5 linked regions of the Rattus norvegicus genome follow. The protein of the gene in region 2 purifies or fractionates together with the protein of the main gene of each other region. This does not show direct contact. Links are inferred from orthologs where the notes say so. Each region holds a gene or a part of one and is shown on either strand. Other genes may lie near its edges. The genes, in order: Rpl11, Ebna1bp2, Ncl, Nop2 and Nop56.

Region 1 (4,166 bases), about 16 Mb from region 2:
GCTGAAACCTGGCCTACCCAGCACCTGTGCCAGAATAACCAACAGTCATCTAGCCAGCCTAGGGCCGGGTCACCAGTGGACAGACAAGACTCACACATTAGAGACCGATCTTCAAGTCATCCAGAAACTTAACAGATTCTGAAGCAAGACCAGTACCTCTGTTGGACGGAAGTGTCGTTAGCTACCCGGACAACACACCAAGCTCTGAACACACATGCCCTGCAGGCTCCTTCCCCAACTGGTCTCCAGCCTTGTAACGTCAGTCTCAAGAGGGATCTGATTCCCTTGACCTGTTCTGGCCTCTAGGCACCAGACACACATGTAATACTAACATGCAGGGAGTTCAAGGCCAGCCTGGGCTGTAAACCAAAGACCCTGCCTCACAACAAAAACCTTCAACATGTGTAATGTGAAGAAATGTAAAGCACCCAAAGGCACAAAGGCACACTCACCCCCTTGGTTCAGAAGCTGCCCAGAGCTCTGCCGCCCTAACCGACCTCCCCCTCAGGTCTCACTTTTACGTCTGGCTCTTTGCTCTCACAGAAGCACTGTGGTAACAGAGTCATTTCCACATGAAAACCCCACTTGAGCACAGTCTGTTTCCATGTCTTCCCCACAGAACTCACGTGTGCCAGAGACTAGGGATGAGTGGAGACAGGGTAGCCAATGCCAGGGACAAAGGCAGCACAGGTTTCTCCCAGAGAGCTTTGCACAGCAGAGACCTGTCAACCCTGTGTGGTTGAACCTGTACACTTGCTAGAACAAGGCCCTTCTCTCAAGGGGGACACACAGGCAGACAAGACACAGACTTCAACCCAGCACTACATCCCAACAGCAAGACAGCATGTGCGGACAACAGACAGAGGAGCAGCAGGCCCTCTCCCCACAGGCAGCTTGGGATCAAGAAGTCCACATTCCACATACCACATAGAAATCCAGGCCATAGATGCCAATGCTTGGGTCATATTTGATGCCTAGGTCAATGTGTTCCTGAATCCCAAAGCCAAAGTTGCCGGTATCTGAGAAGTTATTCTTCCGTAATTCGTACTCTCGCACCTGAGGAGACATAAAGAGCAACCAGGTTATTCCTTGTGTTTAAAGAGCATAGTATGAGCTCAGACCAACACCCAGAAGGTCCGGAGCAAAACCAAAACTCTGTGCATCCCAGCCAGGAGAACAGGCAACCCTTCCCTTAAACCAAATCATCTCTCATCATCCATCAAATGTTCCCCACTTCCAGGCCAGCCCACCTCACCTTCAGGCCTTTCTCCAGAATCTCCTCTGCCTTGGCTCCACGGACAGTGCAGTGAACAGCGATTTTCTCATTTCTCCGGATGCCAAAGGACCTGACGGTGTATCTAGCTGCAAGAAGGGAACAGAGAGGTAGGTAACATTTTACTCCCACTGCCCGGCATCTAACGTGTTAATCAACCTCACCCACCAACACAGAACAGAGCTTTCCAGCTCTAATGTCCCCAGCCGCACTTCAGCTAAGAACATTACAATCCCCAGAGTTCATGACATTAGGCAAGTCAGAGACAAAGGTTAGCACCGTTAATACTCCTTGAGAATGTCAAATGTAGCCCAGGCTGGCCTTGACCTGGGAGCAATCTTCCTGTTTCAGTCCGGGTACAGGAGTTACAATCATAGGCTACCAGGCCTAGCTTAACATTATGCTCTATCATACAGGAACCTGCATTCAAAATCCAGAATGGGGTGTGGAAGGGACAAGCTGGGAGGTTGACATTGGTAAAAGCTAGTATTTTCAAAAGGCCGACTGTCCAGATGTCCTGAGGCTAACTAGCCCAGGCTCACCGGTGGTACTAAGAAAGGGTATCCAATCCCAACAACAGACCACCTATAACCACACTCCCAACAGACCCCATGTTTCAAGCACATTAACACCTCCCATGTGGCCACACAAGGGAATCAGAATTCATTTTAAGGAAGCTGAGGTAGAGCCTAAAGTTAAGAAGCACTGATAGGGGGCTGGAGAGGTGGCTCAGTGGTTTAAAGAGGTCCTGAGTTCAAATCCCAGCAGCACCCACATGGTGGTTCACAACCATCTATAACAACATCTCACGCCCTCTTCTGTCAAGCAAACAGAGTACTCAGATACGAACATGAATATTAAGAATAAGAACGGATAGTCTCTCACCCCAGCAGTGTAATGTATTAACCCTGTTCTTACCTGTCAACCAGGCGGAATACTACACGTCTACTCTAGCTCCCTATTCGCACTCCTGTTCCGGCTAGATGGACTGAGGCCTTCCATCCACGCCTCTCTGGCTAGCCCATCACCACTCACCTTTGGAAAACACAGGGGTCTGGCCTGTGAGCTGCTCCAACACCTTGGCTGCTCGGGTCAGTCTGTCTCCACTCTCCCCCACGCAGATATTGAGGCAGAGCTTGCGGATACGAAGTTCCCGCATGGGGTTCTCCTTTTCACCCTGATCTTGCTGCAGAAAAGAGTAAACGCAGCCGTCAAAGTCGAGAAGCCAATGTCTTCTCCAGTCTGATCTCTACGGTCCCGAATCCTATGGACTAAGGACTAAAAAGGTCTCAGTGTTTGGGGCGGAGGAGCACTGAGTAAGCCTGAATGCTAAGGCGGTCGATGTTTCTGGGTAATAGACACAAGAGCTTATAGAAAGCCAATCAGACAGGAGAGAATACAATGTAACCTTAAAATGACAAACTACAGGAAACATCGGCCTACGCGACCTGCCCTCCTCCTTCCCAAGCTGTCTGCAAGCGAGCACCAGTCCTGAGTAGGGACCCGCAGATGCTCCCCAGCACCAAACAAGCTTCAAGTCCCCTGGGCTGGGACCCGACAGAGAGCTCGGCACATTCCGCTCGCGCTCCCGGAAGCCCCCAGACCCCGCGTCTGGGCCCTCGGGGCCGCTGACCTGAGCCCCATTCCTACGATGGGCGGCGACGTGACGGGCGAGCCCTGCGCCCGCACAGCCCTGCCGGTCTTAATGCCACCAGCATCGCGGGCTCCGTCCTCCTCCAGCCACCGGCGAAACAGCCCTCGTGGGCTCCGCCGGCCGCGGATGGAGATGGATGAAAGAGAGGCAAAAGCAACTCTTGCTCTACTCACCGCCATGGTGGAGAACAGGAAGAGAGAGTGGGACTTCCGGCCCCGTGGCCTTATGGGTCAGGAGGCGGGATTTTTCTCCTAGGCTGACAAACGAGGTGAGAGTGGGAAAGAGAGGCACGGTTGTCTTGGCGCTGCCTCCTCTAGTGGATCGTCCTCGGAACTGCAGTCATCTCGGGCTAAAGACCAGGTCTTTTGAAAACCAGGTAGACTGGTATGTTCTTGAGTCCATCACTTCAAGAACAGAGTCATAGCCGTACTTTAAGTGGACCTTGGTTTGCAAAGTTCCCAGCATGTACGCTGTATTTCAAAACTGGCTGGGGTTGGGGATTTAGCTCAGTGGTAGAGCGCTTGCCTAGCAAGCGCAAGGCATCTAGGTTCGATCCCCAGCTCCGAAGGAGAAAAAAAAAAAACTGGCTGTAACTCCAGTTCCAGGGAGACAGATCCCTCTTCTGGCATCTACAGGCACCAGGTTATGCAGGCAGGCAGGCAAAACACCCATATAAATAAAAAAAAATAAGCAAAATTTTCAAAATAAGCTGAGGCTGGAGAGATGGTGCAGTAGTTAAGAGCATTGACAGCTCTTCCACAGGTCCTGAGTTCAAATCCCAGCAACCTCATGGTGGCTCACAATCAACTAAACTGATGCCCTCTTCTAGTATGCAGGTGTACATGCAGATAGAACACTCGTTTACATAAGTAAAAGGATAAACTGTACAGATTCTAGGGCATTTATTTTGTAACAATGTTAACATAGAAGTTATACTAATCAGCGTAGTGGCTTAAATCAGCTGTTACAGTCTGATGCCCTTGCCTTCCTCCCGAGGACGCCAGACACACACTTGCAAGAACACATGTGCGGGGGGAAAATTTTTCATATAGATAAACTAATAAATGCTAAATAAAATTTGAAAATAGAGTCCTGAGCTGTGAATACAGGCAGGTGTGGTTTTAATTCAACTTACTAGTTACTAATTTAAATGATTTCAGTCTGTTTTCTTTCCCCTTGTGTAAAATAGGTACTTCAGGGGGTTGGGGATTTAGCTCAGTGGTAGAGCGCTTGCTAGCA
Region 2 (4,264 bases):
GCCTGCTATTCCCTAACTGCATCTGAAGGAGCACATCTTGTTCCCCACAACATTTCCCAAACATAAGCCTAGCAGATGAAAGCCAAGATAACTCCAAAGAACTAGAGAATCCCTTCGCTTCTAAGGCACTGATACGCAGGTTTCCCTACATTCTTAGCAGACAGACACGCTGACCTTTCTGGTACTTCTTGATGGCATTCATCATATGCGCTTTCTCCTGCTGCCTCTTCTGAAGGACCTCAGTTTGCACCTGTGAGACAGATACATGGTTAGTCCTGCATCCCAAACCGTGACTCCAGACACTGCCAGCTCAGCCGCCGCTACCACACTATGTTGGATACACCCAGGTGTGCCACAGTGCCAAGTGAACCTGTGTTTGGGGACACCAGCAGACACTTTATCAGGATCAAACATGCACAGGGCCAGAACCAAACCCCACCACGATCAGCCCTGGCGTGCCCGGCGGTGCCATTCCACACAGGTGCCCTTTCTCACCTTCTTTCCGTATTTCCTAAGCGCTCGAAGTTGCTTGGCCTTTTCAGATTTCTCCATGGCAGCCTGTTTAGTCTGCAGCTTCTGTCGAATCTAAAGCACGGGATGTTGTTAGGCACTATCTGGAGCACACTAGAAGGGGGCTCCAAGTTTTACTAGCTCTGAAAGCTTCCACATTAAGGACAATACAGTCCTAAAGCTGAGTGTCAGTGGGCAGCCACTGCTGAGAAGCGGCCCTGCCTCTCCAGACAGGCATGTTCCGTCACAAAGCTGCCTGCTTGTCACACAGGACCTGTTTCCCCAAAGACTAAGGCTAAACTTGAGCCTTCTCCTCTAATGGCCCACCTATGTAATAAAGTTCCTGCACACTCACACCTTGCCTCTTCAATCACACACACACTGTACTGACAGTGTTTGTTATCAGTGTGACTGTGAGAGAGAGACGATCTGTGCTCGTCTCACACGGGCAGCTTCTTGGGGTACGACCTGTAATTCTCTAAGATGAAGACTGAGACCAATGGTACAATTTAAATACATCCTGGGTGGGACATTGAGTTTTTTTCTCCCAAAGTTGAATGAAGATCAAATCCCCCTAACTCTAAATCATACCATATCTTAGCTAGATATCAAGCCTTCAGTTCTAGAAAGCTAAAGGCCCAGAGAAGAAAAATCGGTCTAGAAGCAATAGTATTCTTGGCATTGCTGGACCCAGAACTATAAGACTACTGTGTCTGTACCATTCCACTCACCCTGCCAGAGAGGAAATACACAAGCCTTCTTATTGCAAGGACCACACTTCTTCCAGACCGTCTCTCCCTAATTTATCTAAGTGACTGCCATGCCTCTGAAGCAGAGACTATAGAAATACTAGTTACAAATAGTATAAATCTTTGTTTCCTTTTTGAAAGACTACAGGAAATGAGCCAGCTGGAACGAATAGACTTCAGGAGAAACCTCCGCTTTCCAGAGGAAAAACTTACCTTTTGCATCTGTTGATCAGACTTGGCCATTTCTGCAAAATAATCAGTGGGCCTCTTCGTAGGGACTTGGAGCTGGTGGAGTCGGGGTAATACTGCAAGCACAGCAGCCTGGGCCTGGCGGTAGCTGAAATTACAGGACAGAGTGAAATGAGGGGAGGGGAGGGAAGAGGCATTCGCTTCTTCTTACTGCCTCTCAGAAGTTAACTAACCTCAGAGCTGTCGCATCCCACCTTCACTGGCAAGATAAAACAAACGAGTCAACTAAAACTCCACTAATTTCGTATATAACTGAAATTTCACTTTATGTTTATTTAGAAAGGGAAAATACTTCCAAGAATAAGAAGGTTTAAAACGAGCTTATTAAAAAATATTGAGCAAACTATGAACTGTTTCCCAATCGTTACAGAAAGACCACTCAAGCACTCCCTAGGCAAAGGTCTATTCTGACGATTGGAGGCACCCAGACTTCAAATGAATTATTTTTGAAACATCCCTCAAGCAGGGTGCTGGTTAAATGGTGACCAAGAATCTATTCTTTCAACCAGAGGAACCCCCCTAGCTCCACTCTCTTGGCTCATGCTAACTCCCCAGTGCCCCTGAGGTTGCAGACACACTAAGATCCTCCTTCTGTAACTCTGTAGAAGGACCCACAACAAACGTACAAACTCATTTCCCTCTGGAAGTCGTCTTCTGGATTAACACCTTTCTTCTGGTCCTTGTTCTGGGGTGTTGACTGAGTTTCACTGGCTTCAGGCACAGGACCCAGGGTCACATCGAGCCTTTCAACCCACTCCAGATCCCGTTTGAATTCAGCCAAGCACTGCTTCAGGCCATTCTAGATAAAGTCAGACACGGCACTCATGAGAACCGCGACTCTGTCTCCCTCAAACCCAAAGTCCTATGCTCAAATACCCGCAAGGATGACGCCCGCTGCGCAGGGGTACATCTGTCCCACAAGAATCGGTCTCCCAAGAAGCACAGCGCCTGTGCACATCCCGTTCCAAGGACCCCGACCCTCGCACGAGCTCACCTCGTCATTCACCGCCTTCTTCGGCTTCTCTAGCACGACATTGAGGCCTGGCTTTAGGAGTCCGCGGGAAAACGCATCCTGCAACTATAGACCGGGACGCCTCAGTACCGAAGAGCTAAATAAAGTTCCCGTTCCACCCCCTACCCCGCTAGCGTCTACCTCTTGATCTGAGGCCAGGCACTCATCCGACCCGGAGTCCGAGTCTGAGAGCGGAGGGGTGTCCATCTCGCGGCTTCCCGCCCCGCGAGGTTCGGCTGCCACTCCACGTGCCAGCAAGACGCACCAGCGCCAGCAACTTCTCCACTAGCCTCTGGCTTTTCAACAAGTACTTCCGCTTCCGGGTGCAGAGCCAAACTTCCGGTTTTCTCGTTGCTATAGGAACTGCTCTGGCGTTTGGGCGTGCCCGGATTGCTCCGGCTCTTTAGGAAGAACACCTGCGGGTCGCTACGTTGTATAGTAATCCAGAGTCGTGAAGCAAGAGGTGAATAGTTTCTCTGGGGTCCACCTAAAGGCCTGGAGGCGTTGGGAGTGCATGGGAGGAAGGCAAAGCTTGGAAAGAGCCCCGGGAGTGGGCTGAAGAGGAAGAGGAGCCTGGGGGCGGGGCGATGGAGGGGCGAGGCGGGGTCAGGGTGGGGCGGGCCCAGGGTGGGGCGGGGCCATGGGTGGGGCAGGGAGATACACTCTTATGTCTTTACTCCCACCCGCCTGCCTCTTTTTTTATATATTTGGTTGTGAGCCTAGCCTTTAACGGCTGGGCCATCTCTCCAGCCCCTCTTTTTTTAATCTTTTACAATACTCTTTGACAGGTACCATGTCCACCGTGGTAGCTCAGTCGCTTCATGTTTTTGGTCTTCGGTCTCACGTGACCAACAACATCTTCTTCTTCGATGAACAGATCGTTATATTTCCTTCAGGAAATCACTGTGTGAAGTACAATCTAGATCAGAAATGGCAAAAATTCATTGCAGGTAAAAAAAAAGAAAAGAAAAGAAAAGAAAAAAAACCCACCCTTCCCATCCTGACACATACATTTAAAGGCATGTGCTGCACAGAACCGCACAATCTCAACGATTGGGAAGATCTTTTTTTTTTTTTTTAATAACTGGGTTATCCACATAGTTTTATAAATGCAGACAAAATAAATGTCGATTTACACTGTTTAATCTTAGATTAACCCAACTCAAGTAGCCAGAATGACACATAAAATAACACTCATTTTAAAAGTACTTTTTCGGGTTGGGGATTTAGGTCAGTGGTAGAGCACTTGCCTAGCAAGCCTAAGGCCCTGGGTTCGGTCCTCAGCTCCGAAAAAAAGAAGAAAAAAAAAAGTACTTTTTCACAGTGACAAAGAAGAGTTATTTTAAACAGTGGTTTTTCTTGCATTCTCCTGCAGTCGGGTTTGTCCTCACCAGAAACCTCTTTTGAGTCTAATAGTTTCGAGAGTTCATGACCTTCATCAAACCCTCGTATGATGGAGACACTGGAAATTTTATCTTAAGTGACAAATAACCTCCCTTAGAACCTACCTCCTGTTTTCTGTTTACATTAGTCTGGGCATTGATATTCATATTTCCCCACTTTTTTTGCATTGACCATTTTTATTGCTTCATATGCATATGTAATAGACCACACTACATATATGTAATCCTTAATGAGTTACTATTACATAAAGACCTGTGCCCCCAGACACCCAGGATCAGCCAGTTTCAGAGCTTCTTCATTCCGCTCAACCCATCCCCACACCCACACCAGCCTATCTTGG
Region 3 (4,007 bases), on a different chromosome or scaffold from region 2:
AGCAGGAGCTGCTTTTGCTGGTTTCACTCCTTTTACTACCGGTGGCTCAAATTCATCCTCTTCATCTTCATCCTCATCGCTGTCATCTTCATCCTCTTCATCTTCATCCTCATCGCTGTCTTCCTTCTTGGCATTCTTACCATTCTTAGCCCCCTTGGCTGGAGTGACAGCTCCCTTTTTACCAGGAGTTGGTACCAATGCTTTTGCTTGTGCAGCTCCCTTTTTACCAGGTGTTGGAACTACTTTGGCTGGTGTAACAGCTTTCTTGGCTGGTGTGGCTGCTGCCTTTTTGCCTGGGGTAACAGCTGCTTTCTTAGCTGGTGTGGGAACTGCAGCCTTTTTTGTTTGTGAAACAACCACCTTCTTTGCTGGAGTTGTGGTAGCCTTTTTGCCTTTCTTCTGAGGGATGACAACCTTGAAAGCAAACAAATCATAAGCATTCCTCTATATCCAATGCTATGTTAAGTTACTAACACAAGATAGACATTAGATATGTTTCTAAAAAGTAAAGAACTGGAGAGATGGCTCAGAAGTTAAGAGCACTTGTTACTCTTTTTTTTTTTTTCCGGAGCTGGGGACCGAACCCAGGGCCTTGCGCTTCCTAGGTAAGCGCTCTACCACTGAGCTAAATAAATCCCCAGCCCCACTTGTTACTCTTATAACAAGTTTAACATCCACATGTAGCTGTAATACCAGTTTCAGGATATCCAAGTACATTCTATTCTAGCATGAGGGGACCAAGCATGCTTAATGCACTCACACACATAAAGATAAACATTAAACCCTTAAATAAGGATACATGGCCTTCAATGCTTAAAAAACTGGACTCTTAACTCAGCACCTGAGCTTTTCTAAGAAATTTGATTGAGCATGACCATAAAAACTGTCCTGAGATAAGGTTTCACTATGTACTCCTATTTCTGTCTCCTGTGTGCTAGATTGTCTTTAAATGAAACTTGGGAATGTCATATCTAGCAAATGGGTTATTAGCAGCTTTCTACCCATACAATGTATTTTGAACAATGATTGGAATTAAGATTCAAATAAGCTGAAGCTCAGTGATAGGGACCAGTATTGCAAAAACAAACCATGTGAGATAAAGAATACGGGGAATAATAAATTTTGCTTAGAGAACAAGAATCTAAAAAGGCTACCCTCTCCTCTAAAGTGTCCAGCTTAGTCCCTTAATATATAGAAGGGGGGGTAACCCCAAAAAACTCACATGGTACCACCTAAGCTGAGACCCTGATTCCATCTCTACCTAGATCAAAGTCTGGGTTTCTCACTAAACTTGTCATTTGTCTGGATACTGTGGCTAACACCTAATTCAGGAGAACCTATCTGAGGTTAGGCTGGTCTACAGCTTCCTGTCATAATGTCCTGCCAAAATTCACAAAGCCAAGTGACCATGGACTGAATAAAAATTAGGCTAGAATAAGCAATTTTCCCAAAAACGGAGGGAAAACCACCCCACAAATCTACAGTAAACTCTACTCAATACAACATACGAAACTCTGCCCAGACACCCCCCCGAACTGACTGTTATTTCTGACACTTCCAGTCAATCTACCACTGCAAATCACACAATTTTTCAAATAGCATCCTACCTCCTCTTCTCCACTGCTGTCATCTTCATCTTCTGACATTTCTTCATCCTCACTATCTTCTTCCACCTCCTTTGGAGGAGGAGCCATTTTCTTGGACTCTCCGTGGGTTTTGCCGGCCTACAAATGCACACAAAAAAATCACCCGCATTGTAAGCCACTTTGTCCTCGGCCACCACCTCCTTTCTTACTAAAGAACACAAGCATAAAGACTTCTCGTGGCCAGGCACGACACTCTTCCTGGCAAATTTTTCTGAGAACTGCGCATAATTTGTCTTACAGACAGAAACCTTCACCAGGAAACAGCCACAGGTTTTTAAAGTCTACTTAGTCGTGGCACTTTATTTTCTGGCACGTTCCACAAAAAAGAAAAAAACCCAGTTAAAGGTTCCATTTTAACTATTTGCCGGGGAAGGGGGTTATCTCGAAGGCACCTCTTAAAAGCATCTCTGTATCGGAGCTACTTCCTACTTTCTCACGCTTACAGCCAAACCACGTGGAGTCACCTAGCCGGTCACCACGCGCTACCTCAGGAGCCCACCACGTGTCCATCTACCCGTCACGGTCAGGGACTGCGGATCGCTAGGTAACTAGGCCAACTCTACTGTCCCCTTTCCCGGTGTACTCCCACTCCCCTCACTGCCTCGGACGCGCGACACGTGCGGAGCGCCGTAACCCACGTGGCGGGCCGCGCACCGGAGCACGTGCGCCGGGAGGCGGGGCCGAGAGCGCTAGCCGCTTAAGGTTGGCCCACTTCACTCGCCGAGCCTCCAACCCCCTCTCCGCGCTCAACTCCTCCGACTTCCCCTCACACCGACCCCCGGCCCCGGTGCACTCTACATCGCCCTCCCAGAACCTGCCTCGGCTCCTCTCATCCCTCAAGTCAGAGGCCAAACACCGCGAGACCTCCCGCTAGTCGCGCGAGACTTCCCTCAGCATGGCGCCCTCGAACGCGCCCGGGACTGTGCGCAGGCCCTCCTCCCCTCCGCGACGGGCGCGCGCGCGTCTCTCAGAAAGCAGGCCTAGTCGTCCGTGTTCGCGCGTCAGGCCTATTACCTTTGCGAGTTTCACCATGATGGCGGATTACGGCGACGGCGTGTGTAGAGAGCGAGCAGCTCAGAAGAGCTTAGCGGAACCCACGCGAAGACGACTGGATCGGCGGGTAATGAAGACTCTGGAGCACGTACAACCGCCTGCCAGCTACAGCTAGCGTCTGAGGCAAAAGACTGAGCTTGCCCAGTAATCGCCTCTGGAAAGGCGACGAAGGTGTTCTCGTGACCTCACCTCCACCAACCAGAGCTCGCGTCCGTCCCCCGAACCAACCGCGAGCCTTAACCCAGGACGGCGTGGGTCGGGCCTAAAGCGTGGGGGAGGGCGGGGCTCTTAGGGGCAGGGCCTGACGTCTGCTTTTGAGGGCGGGACTAGTTTTGGCCAAGGCGGACGTTGATTGGTCAGTGTGCTGGTCCTTTGAGTGTTCCTGAGCGCCCGCTCGCTACACGCCTGCGCAGTGAAACGCGCGAGTTTGGCGCGGCTTGAGTGAGGCGCGAGTAGGTGGCGGTATGGCCCGGATTCCCTCAGGTATCCGTACGCCGCATGGACGTCTGTGCTTAGGTGGTCTGGGCATTTCTCGGGGATTTCCCTTGCGTAGCGGAAACCTGCGCCTCCCGGTGGACTTCTCAGGGGCCTAGAACGTTCGCCGCGCTGAAGAGCTGGAGAGCGCCGGAAGGCCTAGAGTTCATTCGGGCCGTTTAGTGGGCCTTGGCCTGCCCTCGGTAGAGGTGGCGGTCCTCTTGGCTGTGGTAGCCTGATGCGAGCCACCACTTTCCTGAGAGCTCCTAATAAAAGCAATTTCGCGCGCGCGCGCGCGTGTGTGTGTGTGTGTGTGTGAGCAGTGCACAAACAGTCCATTTAATCTCTGACCTCACGCGGTAGGTATAACTCCAGGTTCAGAGAGGTGACTTCCTGGTGTGTGGTGGGAGAAGTACTCGGCCTGCCTGGGACCGCTCACGAGTTCCCTCCGTGGCAGAGGACGAGAGAGTTGTCTTGGATTGCTTTAAACGGATTGCCACTAACTGGTTCCAAGCGTAGCAAACGGGTGCCCTCATCAGCTGACAATATCGATTAAAAATTACCTGTGGAGGTGCTGGTGGGGGTTGAGATAGGGCCTCACTATTTGCTCTGGCCGTCCTAGAGCACACTGTGTAGACCAGGCTAGCCTCGACCCGCGTCGTCACGCCCGGCCCAATCTAGAAGATTTGATTGGAGTTTTTTGTTTTTTTGTTTTTTTGTTTTTTGGTTCTTTTTTCGGAGCTGGGGATCGAACCCAGGGCCTTGCGCTTGCTAGGCAAGCGCTCTACCGCTGAGCTAAATCCCCAACCCCTTGATTGGAGTTTTTGAGATAGG
Region 4 (4,255 bases), on a different chromosome or scaffold from region 2:
CTGGCTGCCTTCTGGACCCTGGCTTCTCCCCACCGTGCGCCTGTTACAAACTGTTGTGGGTTCTGCCAGGCTTGAAGAAAATGATCTGAATTTCTTCCTCTTTTTGGTTTTATTTTGTTGGTTTACTTTGTGTTTTCTCCTTTTGGGGGGTATTCAGAGTGGGCCGGGCCCCTGGGTGAGACACAGCTACCTCTGTTGGCACCTTTTTAATACCAGGAACCCAGCGGCTCCAGCCACTGAGCAGCTAAAATAAAGTTGGAAAAAAAAAAAAAAGAAAAAGAACCAAAAGCATAAAAAACCACAGCAAATTTCTTGATGAGAACTGAAAATAAAAGTTTCCTTGTATTTTAGTGATCTGGTTCTATGTGGGTGAGTGTGGGTTCCAGATACCCCAGGAACTGGTTTAATCCCTGAAGACTGCAGCCTGTGTGCCTGTGCTTCTGCCGGGATGACAGTCTGTGGAGAAAAAGGCTTCTGGGCCATCCCTTCATAGGCTCTGATCTCCCTTGCAAATTGTCTCCAGAGCCCTCCTGCATGAAGTAGTCACTTGCCTGGCAGAGTTGTTAAGACATTGGGCAAGCAATCTATCATGGAAACATTTTCTACACACACAGACATACATATACATACATAAATATTTCATTTTATTTTTTGAGACCAGGGTCTAAATACAGCCTGTCCCTGCCTCCCAAGTGTGGGAATTAAGGATGTGTTACCATACCCTCATCTTTCTCAGTGATTCACCTTCCCTTAGTTTATTGTTACTGGTTTTTTGGGACAGGGTTTTTTGAGTAGTTCTGGGTCCAGGAATTCCAGGCTGCCTTCAAAACTCGTGATCCCACCTGCCTTTACTCCCAGAGGGCTAGGATTAGAGTGAACTACTACTCACTTATATAGTTTGTATATAGTATTACGTTTACTACTGTGCACATGGAGGTCAAAGAGCAGCTTGTAGGAGTTTGTTCCCGACACCCACCATATGTGTGGATTCTGTATTCAAAACTCAGTTCGTCAGGCTTGGCAAGCGCGTTTATCCGCCAAACCATCTCTCGAGCTTGTAAGGTTTTTAACTCTAATACTGCTTTGAAGGAAGGACGAGTACGTTTTGCTAAGTGAAAAGGGCTGGAGGGAGGATTACCTCTAAGGAAAGCAGCTCTAATCTTTGGGAACAGGAGGGCGGAGGCGTGGGATCCCGCGATCTTGAGGTCTAAGGCAATTAGGGTGCCAGGGGGCAAGCTCTAGGTGGAGGGAGCGTGCGGCCTTAGGAGTAACAAGCAGGAACCCGCGGGCAGGAGCCAACTCCCGAACTGAGGGCAGAGAAAGCACGAGCGCGTAGCGGGGCGTTTACCTCTGTGAACCGCGGAAGGTGCGTGTTCCTGGATCAGGTCCGTTCCGGTGCTGCGGCAGGAAGAGGCGGGGCGTCGTCCGGAAGCTTTGCGCGTAGTTCACTTTCGCGGTGTGCTGCCTCTGAACTCTTCCCCAAGTGCACGTGGAGCGGGCCTTGGCTGGAGGCACTGGGTCTGCCGGAACCAGTCCTAGGCAAGCCGAGCCTTCAGGTGCGTCCGCAGGATTGAGGAGCAGGGTTTCGACCTGAGCTTCTCGAGAGGGGCGTGGTGACGAGGTCCTGTGGGAGAGCCTGGAGGACATCGGCGTTCCGAGCACTGGTCCTGGGCCAGGCGGTGCTTCGTCCCAGATAATATCCCTAAGCCTGCGTTCCCTTTTCAGCATCCCCCAACGTCGCCTTCCCTCATTTTTCTTTGCTCTAGTTATCATGGGGCGCAAGTTGGATCCTACGAAGAAGGAGAAGCGTGGGCCCGGCCGAAAGGCTCGAAAGCAGAAGGGTGCAGAGACCGAACTGATCAGATTTTTGCCTGCAGGTGAGAGTCGTAGCTCCCTGATCCCGCCCAGCCTTTGCTCCATTTTGTGTTATAACTTCTCGTTTGCGTGTCCGCTTTTACCTGTTGCATAGATGTGAGTTGTTAGGAAATAAATCGCCCGTGTTAAAGAAGGTAGCATTGGGAGTTCGTGTTCTATTTGAATGGAAGGTGCAATATATAGACATTGGCAAGCCACAGGCTCATGAAAGAGATCCTTAACTCTGTGGACACATGGTCTCACTTCATCGAATTTTAGAGTCGTGGGAGAGAGGCTCTGTTAGGTCAGGTGTCTTACACATACTAAGTGAAGAAGGATTTGTTTCTGTAATTTCTCTTAAAAAATAACAAAGTTAAGTTCTACTTTATTTAGTTGATAAATGAATAAGCTGAGACTAAGAGGAGGGCAGAAAGGGGGGTTTGAGGTTACATTGTTATCAGATGACCCTGCTTGAATTTGGTTGCTGACCAATCTGATGACTGCTTCATCTCTTCTACATCTTTTGGTCTTTTTTAATTTTCTGGAAGTGATGGGGATAGGATGGGCTTTCCTCATACTCAGCGCAGGTTGTATATTGGCCTTTCCTTAACATCTCGATGTAACTCCTAGTTCAGTGTTACAGAGTGACTCCCAGAGTCTATAACCTTATGGCTTTCCCGGTGCTGTGGGTGTACTAGGGGGCTTACACATACCTAATGCTATCACTGCCACACTTTAGTTAATGTGGTAATCTCTTCCTGATCACATTCCTGCCCCAGTTTGTTTCCTATCACTTCCTAATCTGCTCCTTTTTAACAATAAAACAGCTGGTGATGAGAATTTCAAGAGGCTGTCCAGTCGTGCTCGGAAGAGGTGAGTGGATGCCCAGGTGTAATGAGGATTGGAGTTGCTTGACCCATGGGTGAAGAGGGCTGGTCGTGCATTGTCTTGTTTCCTTGTGGTGGGAGGTGGCAGAACCCACCCTTGTGTTCCCTTGTCTTCACTTTCTGTCTTCTTTCAGGGCGGCCAAGAGGAGGTCAGGGTCTGTTGAAGTCCCTAAGCCAAATAAGTCTCCTGGGATCAAAACATTGCCTGGAGAGTTACCCAAAGGTTAGTGAACATGGGAGTTGGCTGCTCTGTGAAGAATCGACTGGCTCTTGGAAAGGGCTAATTGTTTCTACAATGGAAGGAATAGCAAAGATCTCTTTTTTAGACCTCTTCTTGTTTGTTTGAGATGCTGAGGTAGTTTAGTGGTTAAGAGACAGGTTTCTCTGTGTAGCCCTGGGTATCCTTGAAGTTACTTTGTAGACCAGGCTGACCTTAACTCACAGAGATCCAACTGTCTCTGCCTCATTTATTTTATGTGCATGAATGAGTGTCTTGCCTGCGTGTATGAATGTGTGCCATGTGGCTGCCTGGTTCCAGTGGAAGTCAAAAGAAGGCACCAGGTCCCCTGGAAGTAGAATCCGTACCATGCGAGTGCCAGGATGACGGCTCCTAGCCTGGGTCTTCTCTCCAGCCCTGTCTTTACTGTTACTCGTTTGTGTCTGCATGTGTCTGCGTGCTCATGAGTGGAATGCTGAATGCACTCGGGGATGGAGATGGGTCCCTATGAGCTGTCAGATGTGGTCTAGAAAGTTGAGGCTCGGGGGGTGTGAGGCAGGTGTGTTTGCTGTCCACTCAGGGTCTGGCACACCCTACCGTTTTTAGGAGCAGTCCAGGTTCGAGGTAAGAAGCGTCCAGCACCAATTCAAAACAGTGATGGGGATGAGGAGGAAGACTCTGAGGAAGAAGATGTGGTGACCCAGGGGGAACTTTGGGGCTCTGAAGACAGTAGTGAAGATATGGTGGACGACTATGGAGCGGACTCGGAGGATGAGGAGGAAAAGGTGAGTCACTTCTGGGTATTCTCAAGTAGATCTTTCTGTTTATTTGAGCTATTGTCCTACTGTGTAACCCTGGCTGTCCTTGAACTCAGAGCTCCTCTTGCCTCTGCCTCCTGAGTGCTGGGACTAAGGGTATATGCCACCACACCCAGCTTGTTTGTTCTTTTGAGACAACGTATCACTGTGTAGCCCTGGTTGGCCCAAACTCTCAACTGTGTAGCCCACAGGCCTCTTAATTTACAACTGTCATACTTTAGCCTCCTGAGTGTTGGGATTACAGGTGTTTGTTACCATGCCTGACTGAATCTTAGCCTTTTAGTCCCCAGACTGGCCTAGAATGTGTACTCCTCCTGCCTAGGCCTCTCAAGTGATGGCACCAGGGTGTGTGCTACCATGTCTAACTTGCTTTTTAGCTTTCCAAACTGTAGGCTCCTTGAGAGACAAGGACAGTCTGAGTGGAGTAAAGGGTTCTGATGATCCATCTCAGCCCTCCCAACTTTGAAAAGCACTGTCGG
Region 5 (4,307 bases), on a different chromosome or scaffold from region 2:
AGCTCCCAGAGACAGAGAGGGAAGGCATTCAATTTGCTGACCTGGAAACTTGGTCCCTTTTTGCTGGGCCCTGGGAATCACTCAGACACTAGGACTGGCCATCACTCCCATAGTAGAGGCCTCTATAGGTCAGGTAGTCCTGGTCAGCCATCACTGTAATCCCCAAACAAAGCAGTGGACACCAGAAGCAGCACCTGACATGGGCAGGCGCCCTCACTGGTACCTGAACAGGGCCTTTTCAGCCCCAAGGATCTGCACTGTGGATGCTGGGTACTTGGCCAGGTTGGTGAGGCTGCCAGCATGGGCAATGAGACGTGCACCTACCTGGAGAGAGACCCAAGGAGGGCAGGTGAGTGGACAGAAACCTGACCTACCACTCTTTCCCCTCTCCTCCTCCCCACCATGCAACAACTAGGGACAGCATGCTAGCCACAAGTATAGCGGTACAGAATGCTATGTTTTACTCCCCCACTTTTGTGTTCCCCATGACGCACCGCTTCCCCAATTAAGGCTGACAGGCTGGGGGCTACTTGGCTCATCTTGGAGCGAAGGTAATTGTGTAGGCTCTGGCGATACTCTGACAAAGACACCACACGACTGGAGAAGCTCTCGATGTTTATCAAGTCGATAGCAGATATGTCCATGCCTAGGAAACACCTAGTGTGAACAGGGGGACCAGATACTCAAGGAGCCTCGTACCTTATACGGGCTGCCTCGCTCCGCACTGACCCATGGAGGACCGAGAGGCATCCAGAATGGCCTTAGCCTTGGCTCCATCCATTGTAATTTCTTCCAGCTTCTCTAACTTTTCTTCATTTAGCTCCCTGCGGTTCCCGATGAACTGAGCCAGGCGACAGTATGTAGCATTGTCGTTGATAATCTTCACCAGCTCTGGAAAGTGGTACCCATACCACTCCCTGCAGAGGGACAATCACACCTTGACCCAGCTGTCAAACCTGATCTCAGGTCCCAGGCTCCCTCAAATCACTGTCTACCCATTCACAATACAGACCAGGCATGGTGGCCTAGGCTGAGGTGTACACAGGGTAGTTTATTCTGCCTCCTCTTTCTATACAGTCAGTGTAGGAACACAGCCTGTGGTAAGCACAAGGAGGCCTGGCTTTGGTCCATGATTCTACCCACAAATTATCAGCCTTGCTTGACCTTAAGTTTGCATTAGCTAAACTAGGCCGAAGAAAACCAGTGTTTGGTGGCTTCTGCACCTTACCTGACACGCATGGAGAAGGTATTGATATCTTTATCCAGTTGGTCCAGAAGGCTTATAGACTGAATGATCATGTTGTCCACCCGGTTCACATTAAACTTAACTTTGGCACGAGAATAGCTGTGTCCCAGCCCTAGCTGGGCTTTACAAGCAGAAAGATCTGTCAGACCCTTCACCAGGTTATGGAAATGCAGACGAACCCCTAAAAAGAAGGCAGGACTATGGTTAAGGACCTTTTAGAACCCACATAACCACTCATAGCTGCTTACTAGAAACCAGCAGCCCCTCTCCTGGCCTCTGTGGTACTTCATCCACATGGTAGAGGCAACACACTGAACAGGACTCTTACCTCGAAGGATCTCAGCTATCACACCACCAGTCTGGCAGTTGTACCCCAACTCTTCCTGTATAGCAGCACCGATCTTGGGGTCTCCGACCCCCAGAAGTACTTTCTTCTTTTTAGATGGCAGGTATGTCTCCAGGAGCAGGCGGAGGTCCTCATGAACAACACCTTGGAACAAAGAACACAGCTCTTAACGCGACGAAGAATGTCCCAACTGTAACAGAGGAAGGACTGTGCCTCCACTCCGACCATACAGGAACACCCATCCCTTCAGGCATTGCTCAGAAACATGGAGTCATCATCGATCACTCAGGGGATTGACAGATTTTTCAAGTCATCATTGCAAAGCCTGACTCAACCACAGGTCCGGGAGCACAATTGTGAAGCATTTAACTGTTTTAAACTGCCATCTTGTAGGTCTCAAATAATGCCTAGAATCTATCAAGCTTAGAAGAAAATCATCAGCCATTCAGAAACACGCATCCCTGGGGGGGGGGGGGAGCTCACCTTCAGACACAGCATTAGCATTTTCCAAGGCAACCTGGGATGAAGAAAAGGGGCAAAAGGCCACCAGACGAACGACATTGTGGAATTTGCCAAGGTTAAGCACACACTCCTCCACCTGTGGAGAGGATGAATGGGCTTTCTTTGAATTTGGCCTCTACCGCGCAGTAAAGCAGGAACACCAGCTGTTGTAGCAATTGGTGCCTAGGCCCGCATCCGGACTCTAATTCTTAAGAAATGAGAGTATGAGATGTTGATCTACAACCTCTCCTATTATATAGATTAGCCTTAGAGTCCCCTCGTTCTACAGCTCTGCCCCCCTCCCCGTTCGGTGCGGTCGGCCACGTGGGAACACGCGGTGCATGCTGGGGTTTGGCGGCCTTAGGGGCTGCATTGCAGCACCACGAGCCCACCGATTCCACTCACCTGCGGCAACAGCAAGCTGATCTCCTCTACTTCCTTCAGCGCTAACAGCGCGTAGCCGACCGCATGCTCGAAGAGCACGTGCAGCAGAACCTGAAAAGGGAACCGGCGCGCGGCCATTAGTCAAACTTCCGAGTCCGCTGGGCCGCTGCTAGAGCAGGCCCTGGCCCAAACTCCGAGCCCAAACCTGAATGCAAACCCAGACGCACACTGAGGCCTTCACAACGCAAATAACCCACAACCACTCCTCACCATGGCGCCTGCTCCGTGCCCAGCTCGCAATGCGGGTAGCGCGCTCTGGCGCGCGGAACCAGACTGCGGAGGCCACGCCTTCTCCTGTTGGACCAATCAGAGGCTGGGGACGGAACCATTACTAGGTCTTCGGAGGGATTTGCGGGTGTGGTATCGTCCGTCGGGCGGGTTGGATTACGCGGGCGCGAGCGGGCCTGCCCATCTGGGCCTCTGAGCCTGAGCGAGCTGAGACTGTGTCGGGAATGAATGGCGCCGGTCTTACCGGCAGGCCGCAGAGCCTGGAGATCATTCTTCTCCGTTTTTCGTGCTTTTTTACCCATGTGCCGGGAGGCGGAACTCGGTGAGGGAACGAAAGGCTCCCTGATGAACTTTGTCGGTTTCCCGCTGCCCAGACAGTCCTGGTCCTCGCCTTCCGCCTGGGACCCGGTCCCCGACGCTGCAGAAATGGCGGCTCCTTGCTGCCTGCGTCTTCCTCTTAAATTTTGTTGTTCAAAAAAGTGTTGGTGCGGGCAGTGGCGTAGATAATGGCGGTTTACCTCTTGCTAGTTCTCTTCCTTGCCCTGCTTCATAGAACCGAGCTCTGCTCGGCACCACGTGGTGCTCATGGCTGAGTGGGCCCTGAATCCTTCCAAGAAGCTGCTTTCTTGTTTAACAATGTCATTTGTTGGCACACCAAGGTATCTAATTTAAAATTACTCTTGCTTTAAAGAGGAAAAAAAACCCACATAACTTTAGTTTTAGCATTTTAAGTCCCAAACTTGATTGCCTCTTAGTCTGTGCCTTAAAGAAAATAATAATGCTAAGGGGATTCTCCTCTACCTCCCTTCCCTCCTCATTTTCTTTCCATTCCCCTCTTCCTTTCCTTCATCCTTCCTCACCTCCTCACTCTTCCTTTTTCCCTCTTCCCTTTCCTCCCTTCCTTACCCCTCCCCCCCACCTTCTGGCGGCTCTGTAGCTGACTACGTGTATGCTCTTTGAACCTCTACCAGTCCTGTGTATCTGTTAGCGAATTCAAGGCAGGGCCTCCACCAGCTGAACTCTACTGCAACTCCTAAAGGGATTTTGAAAATTCTTATAACCATAAGGCACATTTATAAGTTGTATCTGATTTGTTTTCTCAACTCAGTGAATTTACTGAATTCATTCGTCGGGTAGAGAGATGGCTCAGTGGTCAAGAGTACTGATGACTCTTCCAGAGGTCCGAGGTCCACTTCTCAGCACCTACATAGCATCTCACATCTACCTGTAACTCCAGTTCCTGGGGATCTGTTGCTTTCTTTTGGCCTTCACGGGTACCAGCCATATATGTGGTACACACACATACATGTAGGCAAAATGCTCATACACATAAACATTTTAAATATTGAAGCACAGAGAGATTGGGAGATCTCCAAGGTCTGCCCCATGCAGGACAGCAGACAGGATTTCTCCAGGTTTTCCCCAGCCCTCTGAGTAAAGTGTTTCAACAGCAAAAAATTGGAAGCACATAGTTCATTTTATTGCACTTATAAATCTATATTAAGCATTACTGATTAAATCATAATAATCTCAGTATTGTTT

Evidence for each region.
Region 1: the proteins of Ebna1bp2 (region 2) and Rpl11 purify together in Homo sapiens (affinity purification with mass spectrometry; 3 studies listed by BioGRID and IntAct, with this or other methods). This does not show direct contact. The link is inferred for Rattus norvegicus from reciprocal best matches to the Homo sapiens genes EBNA1BP2 and RPL11.
Region 3: the proteins of Ebna1bp2 (region 2) and Ncl purify together in Homo sapiens (affinity purification with mass spectrometry; 3 studies listed by BioGRID and IntAct, with this or other methods). This does not show direct contact. The link is inferred for Rattus norvegicus from reciprocal best matches to the Homo sapiens genes EBNA1BP2 and NCL.
Region 4: the proteins of Ebna1bp2 (region 2) and Nop2 fractionate together in Homo sapiens (co-fractionation; 3 studies listed by BioGRID and IntAct, with this or other methods). This does not show direct contact. The link is inferred for Rattus norvegicus from reciprocal best matches to the Homo sapiens genes EBNA1BP2 and NOP2.
Region 5: the proteins of Ebna1bp2 (region 2) and Nop56 purify together in Homo sapiens (affinity purification with mass spectrometry; 4 studies listed by BioGRID and IntAct, with this or other methods). This does not show direct contact. The link is inferred for Rattus norvegicus from reciprocal best matches to the Homo sapiens genes EBNA1BP2 and NOP56.

What each region holds. Positions count from the first base shown.
Region 1 is NC_086023.1:153,558,002-153,562,167, forward strand, and holds the start of Rpl11 (large ribosomal subunit protein uL5), read right to left. Parts: upstream 2,802-4,166; 5' UTR 2,460-2,801; coding exon of another isoform or gene 2,433-2,459; coding exon 2,309-2,432; intron 1,363-2,308; coding exon 1,256-1,362; intron 1,057-1,255; coding exon 925-1,056; intron 25-924; coding exon 1-24.
Region 2 is NC_086023.1:137,432,071-137,436,334, reverse strand, and holds the start of Ebna1bp2 (probable rRNA-processing protein EBP2), read right to left. Parts: upstream 2,802-4,264; 5' UTR 2,728-2,801; coding exon 2,662-2,727; intron 2,587-2,661; coding exon 2,503-2,586; intron 2,308-2,502; coding exon 2,135-2,307; intron 1,597-2,134; coding exon 1,473-1,596; intron 586-1,472; coding exon 496-585; intron 251-495; coding exon 175-250; intron 1-174. Other genes in the region: Cfap57 (cilia- and flagella-associated protein 57), read left to right, coding at 3,314-3,470. UniProt on the Homo sapiens protein: Required for the processing of the 27S pre-rRNA.
Region 3 is NC_086027.1:94,453,280-94,457,286, forward strand, and holds the start of Ncl (nucleolin), read right to left. Parts: upstream 2,805-4,007; 5' UTR 2,679-2,804; coding exon 2,661-2,678; intron 1,725-2,660; coding exon 1,608-1,724; intron 415-1,607; coding exon 1-414. UniProt on the Homo sapiens protein: Nucleolin is the major nucleolar protein of growing eukaryotic cells. It is found associated with intranucleolar chromatin and pre-ribosomal particles. It induces chromatin decondensation by binding to histone H1.
Region 4 is NC_086022.1:159,617,518-159,621,772, forward strand, and holds the start of Nop2 (probable 28S rRNA (cytosine(4447)-C(5))-methyltransferase), read left to right. Parts: upstream 1-1,448; 5' UTR 1,449-1,556; intron 1,557-1,766; 5' UTR 1,767-1,771; coding exon 1,772-1,877; intron 1,878-2,681; coding exon 2,682-2,727; intron 2,728-2,875; coding exon 2,876-2,964; intron 2,965-3,564; coding exon 3,565-3,743; intron 3,744-4,255. UniProt on the Homo sapiens protein: S-adenosyl-L-methionine-dependent methyltransferase that specifically methylates the C(5) position of cytosine 4447 in 28S rRNA. Required for efficient rRNA processing and 60S ribosomal subunit biogenesis.
Region 5 is NC_086021.1:137,928,678-137,932,984, reverse strand, and holds the start of Nop56 (nucleolar protein 56), read right to left. Parts: upstream 2,807-4,307; 5' UTR 2,751-2,806; coding exon 2,748-2,750; intron 2,589-2,747; coding exon 2,499-2,588; intron 2,191-2,498; coding exon 2,076-2,190; intron 1,915-2,075; exon of another isoform or gene 1,846-1,914; intron 1,737-1,845; coding exon 1,575-1,736; intron 1,428-1,574; coding exon 1,229-1,427; intron 1,118-1,228; exon of another isoform or gene 986-1,117; intron 918-985; coding exon 730-917; intron 647-729; coding exon 495-646; intron 325-494; coding exon 224-324; intron 162-223; exon of another isoform or gene 76-161; intron 1-75. UniProt on the Homo sapiens protein: Involved in the early to middle stages of 60S ribosomal subunit biogenesis. Required for the biogenesis of box C/D snoRNAs such U3, U8 and U14 snoRNAs. Part of the small subunit (SSU) processome, first precursor of the small eukaryotic ribosomal subunit.